2 linked regions of the Rhinolophus ferrumequinum genome follow. The protein of the gene in region 1 purifies or fractionates together with the protein of each later gene. This does not show direct contact. Links are inferred from orthologs where the notes say so. Each region holds a gene or a part of one and is shown on either strand. Other genes may lie near its edges.

What was found.
Region 2: the proteins of EIF3B (region 1) and RPS6KB1 purify together in Homo sapiens (affinity purification with western blotting; 3 studies listed by BioGRID and IntAct, with this or other methods). This does not show direct contact. The link is inferred for Rhinolophus ferrumequinum from reciprocal best matches to the Homo sapiens genes EIF3B and RPS6KB1.

The regions. Positions count from the first base shown.
Region 1 is NC_046307.1:43,407,466-43,417,514, forward strand, and holds the start of EIF3B (eukaryotic translation initiation factor 3 subunit B), read right to left. Parts: upstream 3,968-10,049; 5' UTR 3,926-3,967; coding exon 3,475-3,925; intron 1-3,474.
Region 2 is NC_046304.1:26,275,610-26,285,553, forward strand, and holds the start of RPS6KB1 (ribosomal protein S6 kinase beta-1), read right to left. Parts: upstream 4,572-9,944; 5' UTR 4,433-4,571; coding exon 4,292-4,432; intron 3,814-4,291; exon of another isoform or gene 3,693-3,813; intron 1-3,692. Other genes in the region: TUBD1 (tubulin delta chain), read left to right, coding at 5,801-5,972, 7,510-7,657, 8,425-8,641, 9,373-9,604. UniProt on the Homo sapiens protein: Serine/threonine-protein kinase that acts downstream of mTOR signaling in response to growth factors and nutrients to promote cell proliferation, cell growth and cell cycle progression.

The sequences.
Region 1 (10,049 bases):
AAGAAGGTCTTTCACCAGGAATCAGATAAAAAACCCCAGTGGCCTGGGGACTTCCCTGACCCATGTCCATGGCAAGCCCACCACCAGGCACTTGCTTCCCAGTCAGCTTAAAACAGAGCAAACAACTTGTTACCCAGAGTTGGAAGACAACATGGGGCTGACCTGCATTTAAACAAGGACCTGGAGAGCACACGAGCTCAGGAGAGCGTGCACGTAAACCCTGCACCTGACTGGTGGTCTCTCCGGTGAAATGAACTAGCTCACAAGGTTGGGAAATACATCAGCCGTTTACAGACATGAAACCCGTGAAAGTTTAGGACAATGCTTGGAACACAGTAAGCAATGTTTTCGTAACTACACTCAAAAACTCAAGATGTATTATGTTCATGTATCTGCTTTTAAAATTAAGATCACAGAACCCAAATCTTAACTACTCAAACTTCTTAGAATTGCTTCATTTCCATACAATGGTCAGCTTGGATAACAGAAAGAGACGGAAAGATAGGTGTAAAAAGGAATAGAGAAAAGAACCATGAGAGCAACCAACACAAACAGTCTGGGAAGCAGACTGGAGGCCAACTGGTTTGCCTGGGCGATTCCATTCTACATGCCCACCGCCATCTACCTGACAGCGACCTGTCTCTGGCCTTCAGTCCTTCTGACCATAACGCTCCAGCACCACAGAAATGCCTGACCTGTTGCTGGAGATGGGCACTCGGAGGCCAAATGGAGTATCAGCTGAAATAAAGCGACCTTATCTTTTCAGTATAAATTCTGTACAAATCCTAAACCCAATTAGTTAGCTTGTCTAGAAAGCTGTGCATTTACAAGGTGCTGGGTTGGGAGCGAGAACACACACCTTTCAGAGCTGCCCCAAAGCACACTCACGAGTGGGCTGCAGTAGTCCGTCAGCTAGCAGGAGCACAGGTCATCTTAAACAACAGCTGGGGAACAGTGCCTCGTGTTCTGGAACCCAACTGTCACTCTCATTTCTTTATTATACTCTTAAGAATTTCAACAGGCCAAACTGGACACAAAGTATTTTTTGCTGCATTTCTTTCTCAAAAGTTAAGAAGAATTCTCTCCACTTTTGTGTTTGAAATTTTCCGTAAGTTGAAAAATCTTTCAAAAAGCAAAGCATCCTTTAATTTCAAGAGGCATGCCCTGTTATAAACTATTTCTAATTAATTTCAACCCTTTATGAATGATACTGAAAATGTTACCTAAAGAATTGCCACTTAAATTTCTAAGAAGTTAAAATTGAGACCAAGCAGAGGGAAGAGGGAAAGAGGCAGGTTCGAGTCACAGCAACGGAGGCATCTACCCCAGAGACTGGAGTCAGTCCCTGGGTTCTTTTTAAAGTCCACTTACTATACAATTAAGTGGCCTGTTCAGCCTGATCTGAGTTTACAAGGTTCACAATAAAAAGCCCAGTTTTTATACAAACTGTGGACGCCTTCCCACAACCTTAAAGTTCTTTACAGGAACAAGAATTCTTTTTAAGAAGCTGCCCGTGCACAGTAAGGGAATAGATGCAGTCACTATACGTGAAGAAACACATTTCCATCATCACTACCAGCCTACACCGCTGGTTACTCCTGACTGATGGATTCCCAATCTGGCTCCCAGAGAAACAGAAAGAAGCAATTCTCAAACTAAATAGCAGATATAAACATAAATACTATTTAATGAACTAAAAAGACACTTAAGAGTCAAAACTTTTATATATGTTTGGCCAAGCACCATAAGCAGTTGAAAATTAAAAGTGAAAGGATGGTTGTAATTCAGACACAACTGTGCAAAAGGGCCAGTGTTTCAGAGAGGAGAGGCTGCTCTGCTCTCAAGCGCTGGACCTCATGGCACCTGTGAGAGGCGCTCGCTGCACGAGACTCAGTCCATTCTCAAAAGAAGCGGTACCTTGGGCATCTCAGCTCCCCTACAGGGGGTTCTCATGAAACACAAAACAGACTTGAACTACTGACCACAACCAAGTGGACTCAAGAAAACTGAAGGTTTGCTTAGTTTTAATTCCTTAGGACCAGGAGCCTCACAGGTCACTCTGGCAAAAACATGACGATTACATGGGCTCCAAAAGGTCTGCCCAGCTGTCACCTAACCTGGCTGGCCTTGGGCTCATGTTAACATTCTCTGTCACACACAATTTTGGAAATAATTCACGTTAAAATCTTGTGTGAATTAGATGTCTTCAAATAATGCTTTATAAAAAAATCAATTGCAGAGTAAATACTGGAGGGCTCAAAATGGCCTTTGAAAATCAAAACTTAGATTTCAAAATACACCAGAAGTCGTGTGGTAAAAACAACACTGGTCTGGGCAGGGACGTCCCCGCATCACTGTCTCCCTGTCAGTTCCCAGCCACCTGCTTGGTGGGAAGCCTTCCCAGGGCTTCACTAGCTTGTGGGGGCTTTCCTGCTTCTCATGCTAACGTGCCTTTTACCTTATGAAACACAGTGACAATAACAGGTAACCCTTTAGAATCATGTTTATAAGTTGGCAAATCTATGTTGGTTTTCTAAACTTTTTCATTTTGCTTGACATTCTTTCCGATTCTGACTCAATCTCAGTGCGATCAGACACATCTCCAATCTTTGTGTCTGAACACGGGACACCTCATTTTCTTGGTGTGTCACTGCTGGCGCCACCTTCCCGTTTTACTATAGAGCAGTCAGTACAGTGATGTGCTGCAAGCCTGTCGAGTTCAAACGGCTAAAAACAAAACAGAAGCAAACGATACAGTAAGATCAACTATCATCAAGTCACTTCAGAAGACAGGCTGTCAGGCAGGAAACAGAAAGAAACGTCTGTGAGTCTAAAGGAGGGCAGAGCACGGCGTGGTCAACACCCCCAAACCCTGGAGAAACGACCTGCCGGAGGAGGAGGGGACCTGCTCCTGGGCTGACCGAAAGAGGGGCCCGGAGAGGAACGTGGCCGAACGGCCTGGCACAGACCCACGAAAGGGCTCCACGAGGGCACAACCTTCCGCCGGGCAGAGACAAGGCACCCACAGCCTGTTCTGGGGACGGCATCACACCCACCGCTGAGGGGACCGCCCGGGGGTGTTCCAGGACCCGGACAGCCGTGGCGGACTCTCAGGGCACCCAGACTTGCTGCCGGGGAACTGTCGCCAGAGACCGCGCCGCTCGTGGGGCGTCCTGCTCCGCGCGACCCTAAATGCCACACCGCCGCACGCACGGCCTCAGCGCCCGCTACACGCCTCTGCCCTCGACCTCCAAACACCTGGCCGCAGGAATGGCCGGCTCCCCAAGTTGTCTTCATCCTGCCCCCCCCACTCCTGGAGAAAAGGCAGTCCGGGCTCCCACGGAAAAGCCTCCCTACGTGCGGGACCACAGGTGTAGAATGGAGACGCCCCCCGCCGACTCCCGCGGCGCACCGGGACCCGGGCCGCGTCCGGGGCCTCGAGCACCTTCGCGCAGCCAGGCCCAGCCGCCCTACCTTCCTCGCTCACGTCGTCCACAAAGTCCTCGGGGTCGCTGAAGGAGGGCTCGTCCGCGTCGCCGTCCTCAGCCGCGCCGCCCAGCTCCTCACCCGCTCCGTCGGACCGGGCCTCAGCTGCCGCGTCCCTGGCCTGTTCCCCAGGGGCCTCGCCCACGGCAGGGTCCGGGGACTCCTCGGGCGACTGCAGGGACGGGGCGGGGGTCGCGCTTGCCGCTTCCTCCCCGTCGGCCGCGGGCTCGGCCGGCACTTCAGGCCCCGGCCCGGCCTCTGCTTCAGCCTCAGCCTCCGCCTCCGCGTCCTCTCCGCCCGCCGCCTCCTGCGCGCCGAGCCCCGCGAGCCGCGGCGGCTCCTCGGCCGGTGGCGGCTCGGCGTCCAGCTGCTGCTGCTGTCCGGGCTCGGCCCGCTCCTCGGCCGCCTCCGGCGCCGCCACGTTCTCTGAGTCCTGCATGAGCCCGCCGCTGCCGCCTCGCCCGGCCTCGCCGCGCTTCCGACTCTCCCAGGCCGCACCGCGCCTACCGCCGGGCCATGTGCGTGCGGCGGGGCATCCCACGAGGATCAGAGGGGTGCGCGTCCACGCCCTGCTGCCTCACAGCGTGGCCGGAGGAACTCAGAGGGCAGAAGTGCGTCTACCAGTGATTACGATCGTGCTCCCCTGACAAGTACGTGCTCAGTTCCAATCACCACAGTTCCTCGGCTCAACGTACAAACTCATTGGGAACTATAACCACCCTACTTTTGGTAGAGGATGGTTTCGCCCAATATGGCAGCCACTCTCGTCCTTCTCCCGTCGGGCGCTACGGCGAAGGACTAAACTATTTATGACGCCGATCGGAGGTACCAGAAGTCAGCTTAGTATTCAGAATTGTGTGGAAGCATAGCTCAAAGATTAATACTAGAAAAAATTGTAAGTTCAACAAACTATTTTGGTTGTGATGTCTCAGCCTTTCACCGGGCAGTTTCGCTTACATTACTGAGTCCCCCCCTTGACATGTCGGTTTTTAGACTCGTCTACTGACTGGGCACAAGAATGGACGATTCCAAAATACAAAAGGAATTCCTGGTAAGCCAGAGATGGCCAGCACTCCTAGAAAGACGCTCTCTAGCGCAATACAAAAGTAAATGAGAGTTGCTTTCATCAGGTATGCCCAAGCCCATCGAGGAGGCTGTAATTCCGCCTTTCCCCATTCTGATGGTCACCATGGTTCTGTCCGCAGAAGCCTGGGCCCTCGGACGCGGGAGCGAGCGCGAACCACGTGCTCGGGGCCGGGGCGGGGCCAGGAGCTGGAAGCTGCCCCCGGTGAGTGACAGGAGGCGGCGCGACAAGTCTGGCTCGGGCTTGCTCCCTTCGGAAAGGGTATTCTGTATTTGTGTCTTGTACTTTGCTTATTGCCAGGCGTGAGGGCAACCGCTCGTTGGAGGTGTTTTAATCATCCAAAAAAAGAACTGAGTGGCTGGGGGTAGAGGACCGGGGAGTTGTTTAATGGGAACAGTTTCAGTTTGGGAAGATGAAAAGTTGCCGAGATGGAGAGTGGTGATGGATACACAACATTGTGAATGTATTTAATGCCACAGAACTGTGCAGTGAAAATGGCTAAAATGGTAAATTTAATGTATATTTTACTTCAATTGAAAAGAAAAAAACGTGTTCTTGTGTTGCCTCATACTAAGTTTGAATCTTCCCCATCTTACTTTCAGCTGTAACTTTGGGCAGGTCACTTGACTTCTCTGCCTCAGTTTCCCTGTCTGTAAAATGGGGAGTAACCCATTTTATGTGCGTGGCCTGTGGACTCGTTTCATAAAGACAAACCGATTCCTCCTAGAGGTCAAAGTTTTCCTAATTTCTAGTTTCATCCGCAGTTTTCACAGATCGTTGGGCTCTGCTAGCCCTTTTCTTCTAGAAAGTGCTAACAGTGACAGATGTGATCGAGGATAGACACTCCCGGAAAGCTTGGAAACAGCTGATGTAGGTTTGGCAGCTTCATGCTTTTCAGGGAAGACCTCTGTGGCATGCACGTGCTACATAGAGTGGCCGCTCACTGCTATTCCCCGGTGAAGGGACTTGGCATGTGCTTTAATGCAGGGAAAGTTATGAATGAACTCATGAAAGGGAAAAAAATATGCGTTTTCCAATATCCGCTAGTGCCCTAGAGCGAGCGCCAACACCCTCAGCAGTGCCACCAGCCTCAAAGGTCTGAGAAGGGCTGCAGCTGATATCCAGGTGGTAGGAGCACCCAAGTGGGTACTCTGCTTCACAGGTGCTGTTTTCTTTACGAGTTGCAGGCTTGTGGCTGCCCTGTGGGGAGCAGGTCTATCGGTGCCTTTTTTCCAACAGGCTCAGATGATGGTTAGATGGTTACCATTTTCTAGCAATAGAATATTTTTAAATTAAGGCATGTACATTATTCTTTTAGACATAATGCTATTGAACACTTACTTAATAGCTGACAGTATGGTGTAAAGATAACTTTTATATGCACTAGGAAACCAGAAAATCCTCGTGACTCGCTTTATTGCAGTATCCGCTTTACGGCTGTGGTCTGGAGTGGAACCTGCCGTACCTCAGATCTGCCTGTGCCTGGTCAGAAAAGAATGTATGATTCTTGCCGTCTTAGAATGACTGTGTGATCGGAGCAACGTTTGTGGGTCCAAACATGACAGAAGTGTGTGTAGTGGTGCATTTGTGATAAGTTCACAAATTCTTAGGTACTCCTTTCAAAAGTGGAAGCCAAACCCTGCTCCCCCAAAGTGGGGGTGGACTTAGTCACTTCTAATGAACAGGATGTGGAAGAAGGGATTTTAGGTGATTTCCATGTCTAGGTCCTGAAAATGATGAGCTTCCACCTGGCTTGGGCTTTCTCTCTCTCTCTCTCTCTCTCTCTCTCTCTCTCTCTCTCTCTCTCTCTCTCTGGTCACTGGCCCTGAAAGAAGCTAGCCACCATGTCCTGAGGACACTCAAGCCATCTGAAGGGGCCCCCATTGGAAGAACTGAGCTCCCTACCCTACATTAGCACCAACTTGCCAGACACGTGAAATGGGAGTGGATCCTCCAGCCCCTGTCAAGCCTTCAGATGGCTGCAGCCCCAGCCATGTCTTAGGACAGGCCTCAGGGAAAACCAACCTTGTCGAAACCTTGTCTTGGACTTCCAGCCTCCAGAGCTGTGAGACATAAATTTCTGTTTAAGCCGCTCTCTCTGTGGTGTTTTGTTATGACAGCCCAAGCACACTCATACGATAGGTAACTATGTAAAATACATAGAAAGAGGCCTGGAAGGATATACATTAAACTGAAGACAGGGTTTGATGATGGTAAGTAGTATTGGTGGTGTTGGCCAAAGAAAAATGTTTACTGTAGAATCTAAGTGAATGCTTTGTGACTGTTCACTGTAAAATTCTTTCAATTTTTCTGAGTGTTTGAACGTTTTTATAGTAAATTTTTTGGGGAAAGGACTTTAAGAGGCCCCCCCCCATTGCAACAATTTGAGCCTCAAAAAGACTAAAAACTCAATATGACATTCATAAAGTATGTTTAAATCCTTTTGTTCATAATGCTATTTTTAAAAAATCCTGTTGATCACAGGGGAATATTGCTGGAGCATTGTCTCGTTATTCTGGAAAGAAAGAAAAGACTCAAGCACACCATGGATGAGCCTTGAGGACATTATGCTAAGTGACTAAGCCAGACGGAAAAGGACAAGCACTATATGATTCCAGTCAGATGAGGTCCCTAGAGGAGTCACTTCATAGAGACAGAAGGTAGAACGGTGGTTATTGGGGCTGGGGAGTGAGTGTTTCACAGAGACAGAGTGTCAGTTTGGGAAGATGGAAACTTCTGGAGACGAACGGTGGTGATGGCTGCACAACAATGTGAATGTGCTCAATGCCGCTGAGCTGGACACTTAAAAATGGTTAAGATGATAAATTTTATCTTGTGTATATTTTACCAAAATAAAATGTTTTAAAAAGAAAACAATTCTTGAAAGCCGTCAGTTCTGGTGGTAGTCCTCCTGCCAGCCAGATGGTAACCTGAGCTGGATGCTGAATTGACGGCCTTAGTCTTTTCCTAGGTGAATCGTCCCCTTTGGGTGTTGGGAGTCGTGGACAGAATTAAGGAATCCGCAGAAGAAACACCTCGCCTCCAGGTGGCGATCTCGGCCCGCCCTCTGCAGGTAATGAAATGGGGTTGCTGTTTCACTCCTTACGTTCCTAACATAGTACGCAGCTCTCAGATGAGTTTCTGTCATTTCTGCAGGATATTTGATCTGAACAGGGCTGTCTGTAAGCTCACAGAGCAGGGAGAAGAGTGAAGAGGGATAGGTGGACTCACAGGGTCCATCAAATATGGCCCACATCATGCACGCTTCTCACTTGACCAAGCCTACCTCTGCCTTCTGCAAAGGCTGATTTGCCCCCTCTCTGCAGATGGGGGGCATGGTCAGGAATCAGACAGCCCTTGTTCGACTCCCGGGGACCTTGAGCAAGTTCTTTATCTTCTCTGAGCCTGTTTCCTCAGTGTGACATACATGACCTTGGAACAAGCTCGAGGGGTCCGTAGGGTGGGGAGCGTTTCCGCCTTGGTCCTCGCTGTACCATGCAGTAACAAACCCAGCTGCCAGGCACTGTTCTAAGACATCACACGGTTTCGCTCAACTAGTTCTCAGGCAGCCCCCAGAAGCGGGGACTGCTAATGCCTCCACTCTGAAGGGGGCGTTCCAGCCAGGGCTGGCTTCAGCCGCTCCCCTCCACTGGGCCCTGCCCCACTCGGCTCTGTTCTATCCTGCCACCTCCCTTTTTCAGAAACAAATGCCTTCACTGTGGTCCTTTGTGCAGAGGGTGGTGGGCACTGGAAAGTGGAGTCTGTGGTGATGTATCCCTCATCAGGAGGGCAGAATCGGGATGAGCTGAACAAACATCCACCTGCAGGGCGCCACACCAAGCCCCGGCACGCCTCTCCCTCCCAGCGGGCAGTATCATTCATTACCGAGGGCCCTGCCGGCGCGCCTGCAAACATCAGCGCATTCCGTCTACGGTGTTAACACAGAGAAAAGCAGACCAGCATACATTCATTTACCTCCATCTGGATTCTTACATGTTTACATTTTGCCATGTTTGCCACAGATTTTCTTTCTAAGGGAAAAAAAAAAGGACTGGAAATCTGTTTTCTCTCCCTAAATTTCTCTCTCTAAATTTCATTTCTCTCCCTTCTCGGAAGATGCCATCATGTGTCTATAAGTAACGTGTACCCTGTGTGGCATTTTTAAATGACATCTTTTTGATCTAATTGTAGACTCACGCGCAGTCGTAAGAACTAATGCCAGCTTGCCCTTACGATGCAGAGCTGTAAGGAACGTCACAACCAGTCCTGACGTTGACACGAGCCACCGATCTTCGAATCGCCGGGGTTTTACACAGCCTCACCTGTGTTTGCCTGTTAATGTTCACAATTAGTACAGTAGCCTCTGCAACGCCTTTTCTCCTCGCAAATGATGTTTTCAAGCTCTGTCCATCTTGGCACGTTCTGTTCTAGCTCAAATGTTGCATGAATACCCTGTAATGTATTATTCATTCCACACTGACATCAAAGTGGGTTGTTTGGGGGGTCTTTTTGGTATTATAAATAGTGCCACAATGATGAGTCTTGTATTTGTCTCCACAAGCGATAGTTTAGAGAACATGACCAGAAGTGGAATTTCCGGGTCAGAAGATATGTCTACATTTCAGTTTATTACATTAACAAATTGTCCTCCAAAGTGTCGAAACCAATTTTCACTCTAGCAGCCTAGGAATATTTGTTTCTCCCCATCTCGGGAGCATCTCGTCGTTTGAATTTGCATTTCCCTGATGTAAGTAGATTTCTGATTTAAGCAGAAAAAGAAATTATGAAAAGCAACTGGGATCTCCAGGTGGGCTGGGAAACCGGGTTCAAAGCTCGGCAGATGAAGTGGGCAGCTCATGCCTAGAGCTGGCCGGTGAACACAACGCTGTCCCATCCCTGTGTCCCTGTGTCACAGTCACACATGGCACTGTGGACAGCAGCCCTGGGTGCTGGTGGAAACGCACAGCCTCTGCTGCCCTTAGACGTGGGGCACAGGTCCTGCAGCGGCCATGAGTTGTCACCGTCATGGACGCCCCCTGCTGCATGACCCCAGCTCCCTTCGGCTGTGAGCCTGGCTGGCTGCAGCTGACATGTCACCTTCTGCATGGGAAGAGACTTTCTCAAAAGAGGAATTCTTCAAACATAGAAAGAAAGGCTCAGATGCTGAATGTCCAAAAAATAATTACAAACGTCCAGTATACCTAACTAACAGTAAAGCTGAACATCTTTTTATATGTTTATTGGCCTCTCAGGTTTCCTTTTCAGTGAATTACATATCCTTTGCCTCCTTGGGGTGGTTCATCTTTTTCATATTGAAGTGGATGAGTTCTTTATAAATCCTGGATTATAACCTTGCAACCTATTGTATGTGTTAAAGTACATTCTTCCAGCCTGTGGCTTATCTTTTCACTTGTTTATGGCGTCTTTCATGATAAAAGCGTGTCATGCTGGCTCTTAGAATCATCAATATTTTTCTTTA
Region 2 (9,944 bases), on another chromosome or scaffold:
AACTTGCTCAAGGTGTGAGCAAGTTAAGATGACATCTAACACCAGAGATGTACATATTAGACTGAAGCTTAAGGATGGGGCAGTATCAAGGGAAAAAATTCTCAGTTTCACCTTGATACAGTTTCTTGGGGGTGGTGTAGCAGTGATTATGGCTAAAGGTTTTATTGTCTCTGATATTTCATAAAATCACCTATGAGGCATCATCACTTTAAAGACAAAAGACTAACTTCTCTCAGCTATAATAAAACTGGTATTATATAATTGTTGTTTCTTTAATGTTAGTTTCATTTAATTCTAAATTAAAGGCTACAAAGTACTTAACACTGAACCACGACTTTGAACCTACCTAGAAATACATGCCCCATGGCTGTGTTTCACTTCCAGAGCCGGCCAGGCCTATGTGTTTATAACCTGCATCTGTGTTTATAACTTCCTACCGTTACCTTCTAGAGCAGAAGCATTTGAGGCACAATTCTTTTCTGCTACTCAAAGTTACTTTTAGAAAAGTCTCACACCAGAAGCAATAAACTAACATTATATAATACATACTGACAACTCTTTTTCACAGGAATCTCTTTTTTTCAGATTTTTTTCGTTGCCTTAAACTTAACGTACTAACCAATACTTTTTTGTATGCCACTATGGCTGACAAAGTGGAATTCTGCTCATCTAAGGTACAAGATAGTGTTTCAAACTAACCCACCAGAATGAATATTTCCAGAGTTTTAAATTAAAATTGTTTATAAATTTAAGTTAATGTGCCTCAAATCCCAATAAAAAAGCACATTTTATAAAAAAATTAAATAAATTGTTACAGAATGGGTGAAATATTCTTAATCCAAATCTTATATCATTAAATCTTATATCCACTTGCCTGTCTGTTCACAGACATTTCCTTATAAGATTAAGTAATTCAGAGGAATTGGGAAAAACGAGTAAACCTGCCCAAAATCTTGGGCTATTTCAAAATGCTTTTTGGTAAGTTGAAGCAGTGATAATGAGTTTTTTTTCCTATAACACTTCATAATCATGAATGTTTGAATACATACTGTCTATATCGCACTGTTTTTCAAAGCACTAAAATTTTTTATACTTTTCGCTCAATAAAAATCTGATATCCCAATCTAAAACTCGTGCAGTAAGCTCACAACTATTTCAAATATTGAATTAGTAGAGTAAAAATTGAGGATTTTTAATATTGCATTTCAATTTTCTATTACTCTTTTAACTTGTCTCCACAGAAAGCAGAGATTTCCAACATTTTCAAAATCTAATGAAAACCTCTAGAAAAAAGCTTTCCCTTACAACTCACTGTCCCCAAATTATACCATCACCAGTGAAAACAAAAACCCAAAAAGACCCCCCCCCCCGCCAACACACACACACACACACACACACACACACACACACACACACACACACCCCCCCCCCCCCCTCTTATCCATTGGTTTTTAATAGTCCTCTGAGGTATTCAATCAGGGTCTTTTTTTGTACTTAAGTAGCAGACATTCAACTTTAAATTACTCTCCTCATCTTTTATTCACTGAAGAATTAACTATGCTATGTAAATACATATTACTTACTAATACAGACCGACTCAGTGTAGGCATGTATCTCTAAATAGGACCAATGATTTAATTTAAAAAAAAAAAAAGATACAAAGCTCTAAAAGTACAGCCCTTCTAGTATAACTGTATTTATTAAGTCTCTAGGCATAGAGGAGAGTAAACTTGAATGATTGGTTCCTTGGCAATGCGTAGCACTGACAAGCTTTATTTCCAAGAACTAGCTAACTGCTTAATATGCCATGATATTTTGGAGTACTGTATACACTTTATCTAATGCAATCATCATTTTACAGAGAAAAAAAAGTGTTAGAGATTAAGCAATTTGTTCTAGGTCACATCGTCAGTGAGCATACCTGGAAGGATCTGAATTCACTTTGACACACCACAAAGAGGTACATTATGAACAAGACTAATAAATGCAATGAAAAAGCTGTACAGTGAAGCTTGCTGAATTGAGTCACAAGACACTACCACCAGTTACCTATATGGCCTTGGGCAATCATCTCTCTGGCCTATGCCTCAGTTTCCTTACTATCAAACGAAGAAGGGAGGCTACTCTGATATGTTACCAATGGTATCTGATATGATACCAATGTTTTAAAAAGTTTGTGTTAAACTAAAGATTATAAATTCACAAGCAGCCAGAATATTACTTATATAATTATAAATTCACAAAAGCCCGATTTTCCAAAAATCTAAACTTGTCTCATTTTTTCAAAATTTTACAATTTTATTTTAGAGGAACCTGGATGTCACTTAATCTCCTTGGGTGGCCAGCCCAATCCCACTCCAACTCTTTTCCACCGTGAGGCACCTATTAGAATAACACACTCAAAAGAAACATTTTCAACTCCAAAAGCATTGCTAAAATATAATATAATTTGCCGAAAGCTTTCTCAAAGTCCTCTTTAATTACCTTTGCTCTTTCCCCAAAGTTCCTCTCCCTAGAATAATGGCCACATTTCTTTCTCTTTCCTATTTCCATCAATTTTTCTGGCCTCCTCTTCCACACCCTCTCACAGTCCTATTTGCTTGTACCCAGCAAAACAAATGTCCAGGAATAGGCCCAAATCCTACGAGGTTCCAGTTCATAACAGGAATCTTAATACAGTATTTTACTTCCAACTCCTTTAACTTCTCCTGATGAACCCATGGCCTGGAAATTCTATCAGTTCACCTAATGAAGATTTTATAAAGCATCCTTCCTATCAAGTTTTCTCCCCTGCCCTGCTTCAAAGCCACTGCCATATGGAGCCAATATAATTGATGAGAGGATTATATATGTAATGAAAGTAATCCCATTTTGTTTCCAATTGTAATTAGTGTATCACATGTTCAATTAAGAGGCAAACTGGAATTCCATATGCAAACATATTAAAAAATACACATCTCAATACCCACCTTCCAAACTGTGTAATTTTGATTTAGACTCATTTGATTATGAAAAGATCAACTATTTTAGCCCAGTTAGTTTCATCAAGCTTCCAAAGTTCTGTATACATAGCATCTCAATCTTTTGTCAACAAGCAGGGCACAACTTACTTGCCAGAGGAAGAAAAATGAGTGAGGGAAAGAAAGGGAAGCCCCTTATGTAGTTAGAACAAACATCTTACATCAGTCATCAACCCATGTGTACTCATCTAGACAATGGAATTTAGACTCTAAATTACCACGAGATTATACATGATCAATTGCCCAGAATTAGTTATTTTGTATAACAACACCATTCTTTAACTTAGGTATAATTTGTGATTTTTTCAATAAATTTGTCTTGAAATACGAGTGCTATTCCATAAAGAATAACAAGCTACTAAGACAGCAAAGGTGAAACCAAGCTATGCATTAGGAAAAACAATTCTAAATTTAGCACCCTAAATTACAGCAAGGAAAGCCCTCACACCACCATTCACAAGTCTCCGTTCAAGCAATTTATTTTTGGCAAGCCAAATCACAGCTGTCAACGCTGGGTTTTTTTCCACCCCAAAATTACAGAAAGTATTTTGAAAAAATGTAGACATCTTCAACTGGGGGAAATGTAAGTTACAAACACCGTGTGTCGTTATAAAAGCGTTTTTTAAAAAGTCACACGGAAGGGGGTTAAAAAAAAAAAGCAAACAAACAAACCCTGGAAGATGCAGCAGAGCCCCCTTGCTCCCGAAATAAAACTCCTGGTGGCTGTAACAGCAGAGGCAGCGCTACTCCCGACAGAAGTTTTCAGCTGTCACTTCTAACAGCTGAGCGCTTCCTAGGAGAGAAGCGACAGGCCGAGAAGAGAGGTGGTTGTGGGAGGTCTGAAGATTTAATGCTTGAAATCTTACACTCGGAGGGAAACCCTTCCGCACTTCACCTGCACTTACGGGACACCCAGCAAGCGCAGTCCCCCTCCCCCAACACACGCTACACCACTCACGGCCCGCCACACTCAAGTCGAACAGCTGGAGAAATCGACCACGCGCCTTTTCGTTCGCTCCACAGACTGCTCCGGGCTGCGCTGATCTAGAGCTAGGGGCGCGACCTGCACCTGCGAGCCCCGCAGCGGCCTCACACCTAGGGCCAGGTCCGCCCCGCCCGCTCCCCTGCCTCGGGCCGCGCGGCGCTTCAGCTCCTCCTGGAGACTTCTCGCGCCCCCTGGGTCTCTGCGCTCTCGGACGCGCCCGACTTCCAGGGCCCGCGCCGCCGCCCCAGCCCTGTCACCTCGGGCCCCCCGGGACCTCGGGCCTCACCCCCTCCTCCAGCTCATCCTCAGAGCCCGCGTCCTCTGGCTGGTCCAGGTCTATGTCAAACACTCCTGCCATGTCCTCAGCTTCCCTGTCTCGGAAGTCCGGCGCTGGGTAAAAGCCGTCCCGCCTCCGTCGTCGCCTCATGGGCCCGGACCCGCCGCAGCCACTGCCGCCGCTGCCGCCATCACCGGCTGCTTAGGCTCAGTGCGTCTGCGCCTAGGCCTTAGACTTGCTCCTCAAATTCAGCGCTAGAGCATGCGTACAGGGTTTTTTGAAGCCGAACTGTGGGCAATGAACATGCGTAGAACTATCCCCAAGAGCCAGGTACGGGCAGAAACATGCGCAGAACCCCAGCCGAAGCCTCTCTTGGAATCTAGACCATGCGCATTGTCAGCTAAAGCTTTTGATGGACAGTGAGCATGCGTAACGTGTCTGAAGTTGATAAATTGAAATTGAACATGCGTAATTAACCTTTCTGAATAGGGAAAAAAAAAAAGCCCACAACACTCTTCGTTTGTGGAACATGCGCATTCGTTTTCCATAGCTTTTTGGGTGTTGAAAGTGAGCATGCGCATGATGGTCCTCTGAAGTTTGAACAGGATAGAAACGGCTGGTCCTGGGGCTGTCAGTGAGTGGGCTTAATGGGGAACTCCTAGGGTTGGTGGGGAAAGGGAGTCTTGGTTTTGCTATTTACTAGTTCAGTAGCCTTGCGAAAGTCACATAACCTTTCAGAAACTCAGTTTCCTTATCTATAAAATGAGAATCATGGTACCTAGTTTGCAGGGTTGTTTGAAAATTGTAACTGCAGAGTGTGACTCACAAGCCACTGCTCTTTTCACTGCTGCATAGACCTGGTGTGAGGCGTTCACCAAAACTTGTTTCTTTTCATTGTTAAAAAATAATGAAGACCTGCTCTAATGTTTCATCTGGTCTAGTTTTTCCAAGCTTCATCTTCCTTGCTGTCCTACCTGAGCTAAACACAAAGTCTTCCTTATAAGTGTTACTGTAGTTACCAGGCCAGAAAGGTGATTGGTGAAGAAAGTCATTATTCAGAAGAGAATTAATGTTAAGTACATGTACTAACTTCTGAACTAATTTCTGCATTCTGTGTGTTCCTATGGTGGGAAATGTATAGTATTTATTCCTTCAACTAGCATTCATCTTGTTTTGTTTAAATGTATACATAGGAATATAGTGATTAGAAATCAGATTTTGGAAACTATTGAGCTGTGTGTGAATGGATTTGGGTACAGTAAATCCCAAATCCCAAAGCCATATGGAGAAAGAGAATAATTTCCTTGAATGATTGGCATCTTAGACAACATAGCTATTTCATCTATAAAACCATATACATATATGGCATTTTAAAATTATATATATTTTATTGATGTATATTAACATATAGCATTTTATTCTTTATTAGTAATGTAGTTCTCAACACCTATCTTTTTTCTATTACAGGTTGGTTCCTCACTTTTTTGAGGAAATAGGCCTAGTTTGTCAGGCCTCAACATGTCAATAGTAACACTGCAACTTGGTCAGTGTGGCAATCAGATTGGTTTTGAAGTGTTTGATGCTTTATTTAGTGACTCACACTGTCCCCAGAGACTCTGCTCTAAAAGAGAGAATGAAGCATATCAAGCGTCTTGCAAAGAAAGATTCTTCAGTGAGGAGGAAAATGGAGGTATGTGTGGTCCACAGTCCTCTTTTACTCTGACATAACCAACCACTTCAAGGCCAGGCCATCCACGTGGTGTCTGAACCCCATACTTTCCCATCTTACTAGGGAATGACTTTGCTCTTGACTCTTTGTTTCTATGTTAACAACATTTGCCCCTACCGTGGCATCTTCCCCTCAGCACAAGAGCATGCTCAGACCCTGCCAATCTAAAAACAAACAAAACGTATCTCTCGTCTATAGCTTTTTTCTTCTCTTACCTTTGCTTCTCATCTAAGATTCTCAAAGGAGAACCCTCTTTAACCAACTATAATCCTGCTTCTGCCCTTCTTCACTTCTAAAGCTGCTCTGAGAAAAGTTCCCAATGATCTCCTAATTACCAGATCCAATGACTATTTTTGTTTTAATTCACTTAACTTTTCTACTGGATTTGATAACATTAATTATAAAACTCCTCCTTACTGTCTGAAGTTTTCTTCTCCAGTGGTTGCACCGCAGGCTCTCTGTCCTGATTTGTATAGTTCTCTCTAGGCAATTTCAATTATTCTTCTAAGTGCTACATCTTTTACACTGGTGACTCTCAAATCTCTAGCCTAGCTTCTCTTCCAAGCTGCCGACTGATTAGTGGACATACTCACCTGCATCTCCCATGTGTACCTCAAATTCAACATCTCCATACCCAAGATCATTCATTATCTTTCCTTTAAAACTTGGGCTCCTACTATACACATAACATCAGACATCTGCTTAATTTACTTCCTCCATATCTCTTGAAATTCTTCTTGCCTTTCCATCTTCACTGTCATGGACTTAGTTCTGGCTCTTGTTTTCTCTCACCTGGATTGTTTCAAGACAGTCCTTCTGAGTTTCCCTGCCTACACTCTTGTGTCTATCATAGCTATCCTCCACACTGCTGTATTAAAAAAATTTTTTTTTTAAATCTGACTGTTCCTCCCCTGCTTGAACATTTTCAGTGGTTTCACATAACGTAAAAGATAAATTTCAAGCTTTGATTGCATACAAGGACTTTCAAGATCTGAGTCCTGCCTGCTTTCCATCTCCGTCCATCACTTCTACCCCCTCCTTCTCCATCTTTTGCTTCAACAATCCTAAACTGCTTGTGTGCCCTGGGTATTTTGTACCTCTGAATATGCTATTCTATCACTGTAGATTCGTCATGGGTCATATCACCTGATATAGTGATTAAGCGTCGATGTCTTTCATTTCTCCCACTAGTCCTTCTAGGGCTGGATTGATCTTCATCTCTGTGTTCCCAGCACAGTACATGTTACATTATGTAAGAATGCAACAGATGTTTGTAGACCTGACCCAGTGATTATTTTAGCCCACACTGATTCATCCTGCTTAGCAGAATGCTAGGCATTCTGAACCATCTGTACATACCTGCTGCTGCCCACCTCAATTTCTAAGCAGTGTGACAGATCTTTGTATCCTCAACCTTTGGGGTTTTTTTTTGTACTTAGGAGTTTATGCTCTGTGTTAACCCAAATAAGACTGTGAAATATTTTTCCCCCCTCTCTAGTTCCAATTGCTCGAGCTGTACTTGTTGACATGGAACCTAAAGTTATCAATCAAACATTACTAAAGGCTGCCCAGTCTGGCCGATGGAAATATGGCCAGCATTCAGGCTTCTGTCAAAAACAAGGTTCTGGAAACAACTGGGCATATGGGTAAGAATAACTCATGATTTTCAGTTTAGGTACAGCTACATAGTCAATTAATAAATAGTGTAGTTACAAGTAAAAAGTTGATATACTGAGCAAAGAATCTTTAAATTGCTATTTTAAAATTTAGGGTGTGACTTCACTCAAAAGAAATTCTACCTTACGTATGTATATGCTTCAGGTCCAAACAATGATGAAACCAAGGATCTCTTGCAGTAGGGTTTTCCACTTCTTCACAGTCGTTCTGCCAACTAACTTATTATCAATATAATATCTTTATCTGGCAGGTATTCCAGCTAATATGGGATACAGCAGGGCAGTAGTGTTTCCTGGGTTCTTTGGAAAATTTCAGTGCCTAGGGCTCAATTCGAGAAATTCTGATTTAATTGGTTTGACATGAAGCCTGGATGTTGGGATTTTTCAAAGCTTCCTTAGGTGATTGGAATGTGCAGCAAATTTCAAGAACCACTGTTTAAGGTGTATTGTTAAGAACATCGAATATTATGTTGTACCATAAACTTACAGAACTACCTGGTAATTGAAGTCTACAGCTAAAGGAGTGGCCTATAAAAGAGAATTTCTGTACCCAGTAAATTCACTCTCTTAACAGTCCTATCTACCTGTTAAATATCTTTAACTTGAATATTTTAAATTTTGTGCCTTTCATGAGAGTTAGTTCACTTCCCTAGGTTTAAAAAGACTTCTCTATTCTGCATTGCATCTCTCTGGTTAAATTGAAAGGTGTTTGCATTTGTTCCTTTTGCATTGCATAGTTACTCTGTTCATGGACCCAGGCATGAAGAACCTATATTGAACCTAATCCAGAAGGAAGCGGAGAAATGTGACTCTTTGAGTGGTTTTTTCATCATAATGAGTATGGCTGGGGGTACAGGATCAGGACTAGGAGCCTTTGTTACACAGAATTTACAGGATCAGTACTCCAGCTCTTTGAAAATGAATCAGATTATATGGCCTTATGGAACTGGTGAGGTATGAACTGAATTTTTTATATTTTGTATTCCTTGCTGTTGAAATCAATGTAGGTAAAAGACTGATCTGACCCTTTCTTTGGAAATGCTAAGTTACTGTGTCAGGAGTGATTATGCAATATGGTAGTTGCGTGAACAATTCATTTAACTTTGCTTTAACTTTTCCAAACAAATGAAGTGTCCCTGTTTTTAAAATTTTCAAAGAAGACAATTGTGCATTTTCTCTTAGGAATCCATTCCTGAGTTAATCCTTCTGTCTCTAGTATGTAAAGCAGGGACCTTGACTTCATGTTAGGGGGCATCATGCCATTGCCAACCTTCAAAGAATTTTCATTTCTCTCCATTACAAGGAAATTTCTATATAGGCCCATTTCTTGTTGACCAGCCTAGTAGGAGAAATACTAAAACAGAGGTGAGATAAGTCACTATTGTAAATTATGTAGGAAGAAAGTGTGATAGTAATGGTCATCGTTTATTGAACCCTTAGTATATACAAGGCACTGTTCTAAGTGCTTTCCTTGCATTTTGTCATTAACCTTCACAACTCTAGGAAGCAGGTATAATTATTATTCCCATTTTACAAATGAGGAAACTGAGGCATAAATAGATTAAATAATTTGTTCAAGAGCATACAGCTAGACAGTGACAGAGCCAGGATTTGATCCTAGGCAGGATGCCCTTAATATCGAACCTCTTAATTGCCTTTCTTATTTCTGACCTTTTTCTCTCCAGGTTATTGTTCAGAACTACAACTCCATTTTGACTCTTTCCCACTTGTACCGATCTTCAGACGCCCTCCTTGTTCATGAGAATGATGCTGTTCATAAGATCTGCGCAAAACTGATGAATATCAAGCACATCTCCTTTAGTGATATAAATCAAGTCCTCGCCCATCAGCTGGGAAGTGTGTTCCAGCCTACTTATTCTGCGGAAGGCTCATTTCACTACAGAAGAAACCCATTAGGTATTTGTCTTTCTGTATTTTATCTGTAGGAAAGTCTTATGTTCCGAATGCCTCAAAGTTATTCTTCATTGGCTCCTCCCCTCTGCCTGAAGATACACCCAGGTCTCCCTCATCTCAAAAACCTTCCTTAAAGAGCTTCTTAGCGCTCTGAAAAGTTTTGAGAAGTTACTAAATTTCTCAAAAGAGTGGTTAATACCCACTTTCTCCATTCTTTAGGATCCTCTCCTTTTTTTTTTTTTTACAAAAACTTTGAGATATAATTCACATATCCTACAATCCACCCATTTAAAGTGTTTTGTGTTTTTTTTTAATATTCACAAAGTTGTACAACCATCATTTT